Linked DNA regions of Cricetulus griseus. The protein of the gene in region 2 purifies or fractionates together with the protein of the main gene of each other region. This does not show direct contact. Links are inferred from orthologs where the notes say so. Each region holds a gene or a part of one and is shown on either strand. Other genes may lie near its edges. The genes, in order: Rcan3 and Ppp3cc.

Region 1 (3,914 bases), on a different chromosome or scaffold from region 2:
CCTTGAGTTTTGTGGGACAGGGAACGCTTATCAACCTTAGGCCTGGTTTCAATGGATCAAGCGATCATTTTCTCTCTGCCTGTAACTCAAACCATGGAGATGAGGCGAGGAGCCTCAGAAATGGGAGTCTGCGCCAAGCTCATTCATAACAAACATTCCTTAGACACAGTGCCCGTCGCCTTGCCAGACACAATGAGGAGGATGAAGGATGTGGAAGATTCCATTCCTGTTCTCAATTTCTTGCTCTTGTTCACAACACAGGCAGCAACAACTCTTCCTTTGCCCGGAAGGCAGGCACACAGTTCTGACGGCTGACTTTTGACCTTTGACCTTTGTGTTTTATCTGTGTAATAGCCCTGGCTGTCCTGGAACTCGCTTTGTAGACCAGGCTGGCCTTGAACTCTTCTATTCATTTTTTTTTTTTTTTTGGACGGGTAGTCATGTGGAGGTCAAGGAACAATTGCGGGAGTTGGTTCTCTCCTTCCACCATGTTGGTCCCTGGTTGGGAGCAAGCACCCTCAGCCCCTGAACCCGGCTGCCGGCTAGCTGAGCAGATTCCTTCTAGCGGGAGCTGAGACAAGAAGATCTCCAGCTCTGTGCCTGTCATCTAGCCTATCAGCTGAAGGAAGGCACAGCTCCCCGCCAGGCTGGTCTCAGCAACAGTAATTAAACTAACCCGCAGTGATGCCAGCCAGCCTCGGTGCTACCACGGGTGGAGACCTCGACTAGACATGATTGGTGCCCCATTGTCTCCAAGGGAGACACGCAAGACTGTGCAAGGAAAGGCAAACGCAAACATCATTAATATTGTACGTCTGTGCAGGCTGCAATGGAGGGAGGAGACACACCTGCTGACACCCACAGCTCGGCGACGTCACTGTCGCCTCTGCTGGGCGGAGGGGGCTGCGGGGCGCGGTCCGGCACATCCGGCTGGCGGGTTCCCGGGAGGTTCCCGGGTAAAGGTTCCTAGTATCCTCGCTAGCTGTTCCTGTCACTGTCGTGTGGGGCCCGCAAGAAGCGAGAGGAGAGGTTTCAGGGTGGCGGCGGATACGTAGGGGTCGTCCAAGGTCCCGTTTTAGAGGTCACATACAGCCTTTGCCTCAGGGCTCCCGCCCAAGCCCTTCACAGCCTGTACCCGAGAGCCAGGAAGAGCGGGCGAGAGCGCGCGCGCGCAGAGCCTGCCCCGCCCCCTGGGGCCCCGCCCACCACAAGGACTCCCGCCCACCGAGCTGCCAGCCCCTCCCACCTGTCTGTGCGCCTGCGCAGCGCGCCCGGTAGGCGCGAGGAACCGAGGGAGGGCGCGAGGCGCGCGGGTCCGGGAGCGCGCGCGCGACGCCAGCAACCTTGCTCGGGCCCAAGTCACCGCCCGCGTCCCCGGCTGAGGCAGCCGGCGTCGAGGGCGTGGCGGCTCCCCGCGGCCCCGGGCGGAGGGGGTCTGTCGGCTCCAGGCCGCGCTCGTCGCCCCCGGGCCTCTCCCCTCGAGCGCACAGGTGAGTCTCCCCTTCGCAGGGCGGGGCCGGCGCGCGGCCGCTCGGAACAGGTTTGCAGCGGCGCTGGCTGATGGATCCCCAGGACCCCTGAAAGTTACAGCAGCCCCAGCCGCAGCAGCAGCTGCCCGGAGCCCCCTAGACGCTGCTAAGGGCCAGCTGCCTGGTCCCCAGGGTCTTCCCCGGACGCTTCGGGGTGACATCCTACAAAACACTACTCGCCAAGTCCTTCCTCCACCACCGATTTCTCCAACAGCTGTACGACTTTTTGAAAGGTGGCAGGGCCAACCTGCCCCCAGGGCAGGAAAGGTGTGGCCAGTAAGACAGGGATGGCAGCAGGTGGAAGCCCCAGTCTCCTCCCCGCTTTTCCCTCCCCCAGGATGCAGGAATAATCATCAGCGCATCTCTGCGTCCCTGGCTTCTGGAAACTTGTGTCCGCCTCCCAAACCGACGCACCTTCAATATCAGTCTGTTTCCAGGTTGCCCGGTTCCAGCTTCCGTGTGAAATCTCATCATCCCCTCAGGGGATTAAGATTCTAGCGGCTCACGTCTGTGTTTCAGATTCAAACCAGGATTATTTAGCGTGATATTGTAGTGTACGAAGGGTTTAAGAATCAAAACATATTCACCTCCCCTTACTGAAAGCTATCTAGTACAACACATTTACCTGAACTTTTCGTAGAAGTCTTTCGCCTTCTGTTTGGCCAGAGAAGTAATTTCATCTGTAGCTGTAATTAAAGATTACTTAAAAATCTTATTCTAAGGACTGGGTGTGGCACATGTTTATAATCTCAGCACTTGGGAGGCTGGGCTGGATTACAAAACAAGGCCCTGTCCAAAAACAACAACAACAACAATAAAAAACCAAAAACCCCCAAAACCCTTACTTTATCACTATGCCATTACCTCTGGTCTGATATATAAAACTGTAAAGCAATGTTTGGCCCTAAATGATGGCTCAGCAGGTAAAGACACTTGCTGCAAAGCTTGACAACTGGAGTTTGTGGGTCCCAGGAGAGAACCAGCTCCTCCTGCAAGTTGCCCTCCACATGAGTGTTGCTGTGGCCACAGGCAAACACACATACATACATTAAATAAATAAATACATATATTCTAACAAAATATTGGGGCTGGAGGGCTGGCTCGGCTGTTAAGAGCACTTACTGCTTTAGTAGAGGCCTGGGGTTGGATTCCCGGCACCCATATGACAGCTCATAGCAGTCTGTACAGTTCCAGGTGGTCCCACCCTTCTTCATACCTCTGAGGGCCCATACATGTACCTGATACACAAACATACACCCACAGGCACACACCTACATGTAAATAAATAAGTAAAAAGCCGGAATTTAAAAATATAGTAGTCTTGGAGTCTAGATGTTCATGCAGCATATAGAGTTGTTCTTTTTGATCAGAATTTCATGTTAGTGGTCTGATAGACTGTGGATATAGGAGGGTTATGAAAAAATTAGTGTCCTGTTAGTCTTTGCTATAGTTTTACATTTTACCTCCTTGGCAACTGGTTTCCAAGAAAAGAGGTTTTAGGGGATTTTTTTCTTTACTATTTAATCATGATATGTTTTAAGGTTTTAAAAGCTTATATAGTCTTAGGCTAAACAAATGAGAAGCAATGCTGCATGCTGTTACAGGAAATAAGAATCCAAAAATGAGGAGAGGTGAGGAAAAACAGTGTGACTTAGAACTCTGTTCACCTGACCCTGCACAGTGGCTGCAGGATTTGATGAAGCATTTGACTTAGTCCTAAAGACCTACAGAGAGCTCAACTCGTAGCTCAATGGTAAAACACTTGACCAGCATGCTTGAGGTCCTAGGTTCAATCCCCAGTATTAGAAGAGGAAAAAAAGTCCTTCAGCCATTGAGTGAGGGTGTATCACCCTGAAGAGATTATGTTTAGGGAAGATGACTTATATGCAACAAAGCAAATAGCATCAGTTTTTCTCCAAAGCCTTACATTTATTGCTTTCATTTTGTCTTTCTCATACTAATAGGTAGAACAAGAATATCGATGACGATAGGAACAGTGATAGATTATCAATAAAATGGTGTGACTTGAGGTCCTAGAAACACTCACAGAAATGTAATTTTTAGGTTTTTAAAGGCTTATTTTTTGTGCACGAATGTTTTGTCTATATATATGTATATATACATGTACCCCATGTATGCCTGGTGCCCTCAGAAGGCATCAGTATCCTGGAACTATTGATGGTTATGAGCTCCCATGTGGGTGCTGGGAACTGAACCCAGGTCTTCTGCAAGAGCCATCTTTCTAGCCCCAGAATATAACTTTTAAAAAGATTTATTTTTTTAAATTGTGTCTGTGTATGAGTATATGCACATGTCACAGGTATCCATGGAGGCCAGGAGAGGACATTGTACCCCCTGGAGCTGGAGTTGCAGGTAGGAGCTAGG
Region 2 (3,914 bases):
TGTGTAGCCCTCCCTGGCTATCCTGGAATTCACTCTGTAGGCCAGGCTGGCCTCAAAACAATAGATCTGCCTGCCCCTCCCTCCTGAGGGCTGGGATTAAAATTTTGCACCACCATAGATCCAGGACACCCAGTACTACATAGAGAGACCCTGTCTCAAAACAAAACAGAAGGCTTAAACTAGGTATGTAGTTTACATCTGTATTCCCATCATTTAAGACTGCTGTAGGAGTAACCATGAGTTTGCCTGGCTGCACAACAGAATGAAATTCTGCTTAATCCCTCACACAAAGAGAGACACAGGTCTTGAAAGTTTACAGAATGTGGTAATTTCTGCTAAAGAACAAGTTTGTATCATATCCTACAGACTGTAAAAATGGTATTCACTTAGCTGTAAACATACTAGCAATAAACAGCACCTATACTTTACCTGTCTTTCATTCCACTTCTGTTTAAGTGTAAGAATTAGTCATTTTAAAACGTCCTTTACAAATAATGGTGGAAATAACAGGTACAAAAAAAGAAATTACACTGTGAGATTCTTGAAGGTCTGAGGGTGCCACTAAGCCTTGATCAGACTTCATTTATCCTGACTTGACACGGATTCAGGTTTAACTGGTTTCCTTGCCTACTTCGGCTGAGAAATAGGCATCTTTTGACAGAGAAAAGCACTAGAAAGAAAAGGCCGGATGAATCATTACAATGGTACAGTGGTGAAAAGTCATTTTAATATAAGAGGAAACTGCCAACACCCTTACACAGTCATCGGCACAGTACAATTCAGTTCAGAAGTTAAAGTACATAATGATGACCTTGCTCCATCAGAAAAGGTTGTGTGATGTGAGTTTTGTATTTCTGCGTATTAAAAGAGGCATTTTTCCTCCTTGTGGATTAGATGCTATGAAGACTTACACTAAAATGCTCAGGACACTTTAGCTGTTAAAGGACTAACAACCATTTTATGAGCAATTAACTGAAATCCCCAATGATAACAAATCCTAAGGACAGAAGTCCCAAAAGTACCATATGTATTGTTCGGCAAGGCAGATAACCAACATTTATGATATTAATACTGTCATTTTCTCTGTGAGCACTCAATAGGCTCCCCCCTTTAAAATATTATCGTTACTAATCTCAGTTTTCTTTCTCCTAAAATCAGAATGAAATGGGGGAAGAAGGTATTTTAATAGTTTTCTCCCTCTGTGATGAAAACCACCCTTCCCAGAAACTGCTGGTCTAAGCATATTACCATCTTAAAAACAGTGCTTTCAAACCAACTATTACTACAGAGAGAGACGGAGGAGGTCTTACAGTCGGACAAAAGCAGCACATCAATGGGTGGTTATGTTTGACAGGTCCTATTGGCTAAAGGGCAGAAACTACACCATAAAACCCTGAAAGATTGAGAACACTTTTACATTTTATTCTTAAAATAACAATGGAAATAAGATACAATGGCAGACATCTCTATCAGAGGTCCCTACAGCCAAAGTGAAAACAGGAGACCCGCATGTCAAGAAATCTGTAAGCCCCTTTAAGCATCATTAAAGAGATTTGTGTTACTACCACTTGTTTCTTTTAGGAAAAGCAGTGACTGGTGATATCTAGACAAAATGGGCCAAACGTGCACGATACACCCGCCACACCCCTGGCAAGAAATTTTTTTTAAGGGTTAGGCAAGGGACTGTCAAGCAAGAGCTGAGCCTAAGAAGAGGCACGACTGGGTAAGTCATGGGAACTCCCCGCTCGCACAACCCCAGACGGCATCCCCAGCTAGACAGGACTTGACGAGGAAAAAGGAATCAGGAGAGAGCGCCTGGCTGCCGTGGGAGTGGATGGCGGGCGCGGTCGCTCTACCCACCTCCCGCTAGGTACCCGTCCAGCAGTCACCGAGGACGCCGGCGGACAGCCGCCCGGTCCTCCCCGCGCCCTGCAGCGCCTCCCGCCGCTGCCTCCATCCCCGCTCCTCGAGTCCCCGAGCCGTCGCCCGGCGAGGGCCGTTCCCCGCGGCGCGCTCGGCACCTTTGATGACGCGATCGGTCGTGGAGAACTGAGGGTGACTCCCGGACATGGTCTCCTCCCGGCTCCGGCGGCCCGCACGACGCGAGCCGCCGCCTTCCTCCCCAGCGGTCTACGTTCGGCGGGCCAGCAGCCACCGCGCCGGGCCCCGGAAGACGGGGCGTCCTCGGACGGCGGCGGCCGCAGCGCCGCTCCCTCCCTGCGGCGGCGCCCGCGGCTCGGCGGGGACGACCGCGTCGAGAGCGACGGAGACCGCGGCTGAGGGACACAACTCGGGAGATCGCCGCTGCGCGCGACCGGAGCCCCGCGTGCGCGCCTCCGCGCTCACAACTTCCCGGCGGCCCCGCGTGCCCCCCGCCGCGCTCTGCGCACGCGCGTCCCTCCGCTTTCCGCTCTTAATTCCTACTGCCCCGCAGCCAGCTTGGTGTTACAGGGCGGATGCTCTTTGCCTGCTGCTCGTCACCTCTACCCCGACCTGTAGCCTCTCAAGCCAGCCCCCTGCGATCTTGAGACCAAGCCGGCGTCTCCCCTCATCAGAGAGAGCCCCTGTCTTCTCACGAACGCTTCCTCCCTTACTACTTTGTCCCCAGAAGAAATTATCCATTCTACCAGTTCCTCAGATTGCCCTCTCCCATTAACCAACCCCCCCCCACCTTGAAACCCCCTACATCAACTTTATGTTTGTTGCACGGAACTTGTACCTAGCAGCCTAAAGACCTTCGCGTCCATCCTAGTTCCAGTCCAGCACTTGGGAGGGTGGGAGGGATCCGTTTCCACTTCCACGAGAAAGCTGTTACTGGCTTCTAGTTCGCTAGCCCAGACCTCCTTGATGAAGGGAATTGACTTCTAACTGATCTTTCCTTAATGGACCACCTGCCAATCTGGACGTATTTATTCCACTGTGGTACAATGACACCGCATCGGCCTCCCTATCGTGTGCGTGTGTGTGACCGCATGAGGTGTTTGCATTTGTGTGTGCTAGTGGGCTTGCCCATAGCAAGTTCAAGTGGAGGCCAGAGGTCGAAATTGTGTGGTCTACAGTGGCCAATGAGTAATGACAAGTGGTTGTGTAAATTAAGTAGTTCAGTTTCAGGTACTGGCTACATTATTGGCTGTCATAGGACATTTCCATCGATGCGCAAAGCTGGTTTGGTTTTTTTTTTGGGGGGGGGGATTTTGTTTGTTTTGTTTTCTGAAACAGGTCTCAAGTCACTCAGATTGGCCTGGAAGGTGATGTGTAGCCAAGAATGATCCTGAACTACTGATCCTCCTGCCTCTGCCTCCAAGTGCTGGGATTATTGATATTTACCACCCTGCCCAGTCATTGCAGAAAGTGCTATGGATAGCTTCTTTCTAATCGATTGCAGGGTAAAGACAAAGTCTCCCCTAGTATGGATTTATACACGGAAAGGAAGTCTGGAGATCTAGACTAGAATCAGACCCTACATTGCCTCTTGAAGTTTCAGTCTAAGATCTTTCACAGTAAGGCACGTTTGAGGCAGGATTACTTCAGGGAATAATTAGAATATGGCTTTATTTTCACAGAACCTGGTTTCAGGTTTCCACAGTGAGAACCCTTGACATATTTTAAGAAAGTTGTCCATTAAAGAAACAACCAGGTGCCTCTGTCAGGCAGATTCTAAAGCATAGCGGATGCTAACATTCACAGGGTTGCTGAAAACAAAACGGTTTGGGAAACTACAAACCAAAGGAGAACAATAGATTATTCAATAAAAGTTATGGAAAAATTAATCAACTACTTAGATCTTTTGCTGTTATTTTTGAGACAGGGTTTCTCTGTGTAGCCCTGGCTACATTCCTAGAACTCATTCTGTAGACCAGGATGGCCTTGAACTCGCAGAGATCCACCAGCCTTTGCCTCCTGGGTACTGGGAT

What was found.
Region 1: the proteins of Ppp3cc (region 2) and Rcan3 purify together in Homo sapiens (affinity purification with mass spectrometry; 3 studies listed by BioGRID and IntAct, counting the BioPlex papers as one, with this or other methods). This does not show direct contact. The link is inferred for Cricetulus griseus from reciprocal best matches to the Homo sapiens genes PPP3CC and RCAN3.

The regions. Positions count from the first base shown.
Region 1 is NC_048595.1:17,831,973-17,835,886, forward strand, and holds the start of Rcan3 (calcipressin-3), read left to right. Parts: upstream 1-1,270; 5' UTR 1,271-1,490; intron 1,491-3,914.
Region 2 is NW_023276807.1:224,946,780-224,950,693, forward strand, and holds the start of Ppp3cc (serine/threonine-protein phosphatase 2B catalytic subunit gamma isoform), read right to left. Parts: upstream 2,358-3,914; 5' UTR 2,071-2,357; coding exon 2,022-2,070; intron 669-2,021; exon of another isoform or gene 530-668; intron 1-529. UniProt on the Homo sapiens protein: Calcium-dependent, calmodulin-stimulated protein phosphatase which plays an essential role in the transduction of intracellular Ca(2+)-mediated signals. Dephosphorylates and activates transcription factor NFATC1.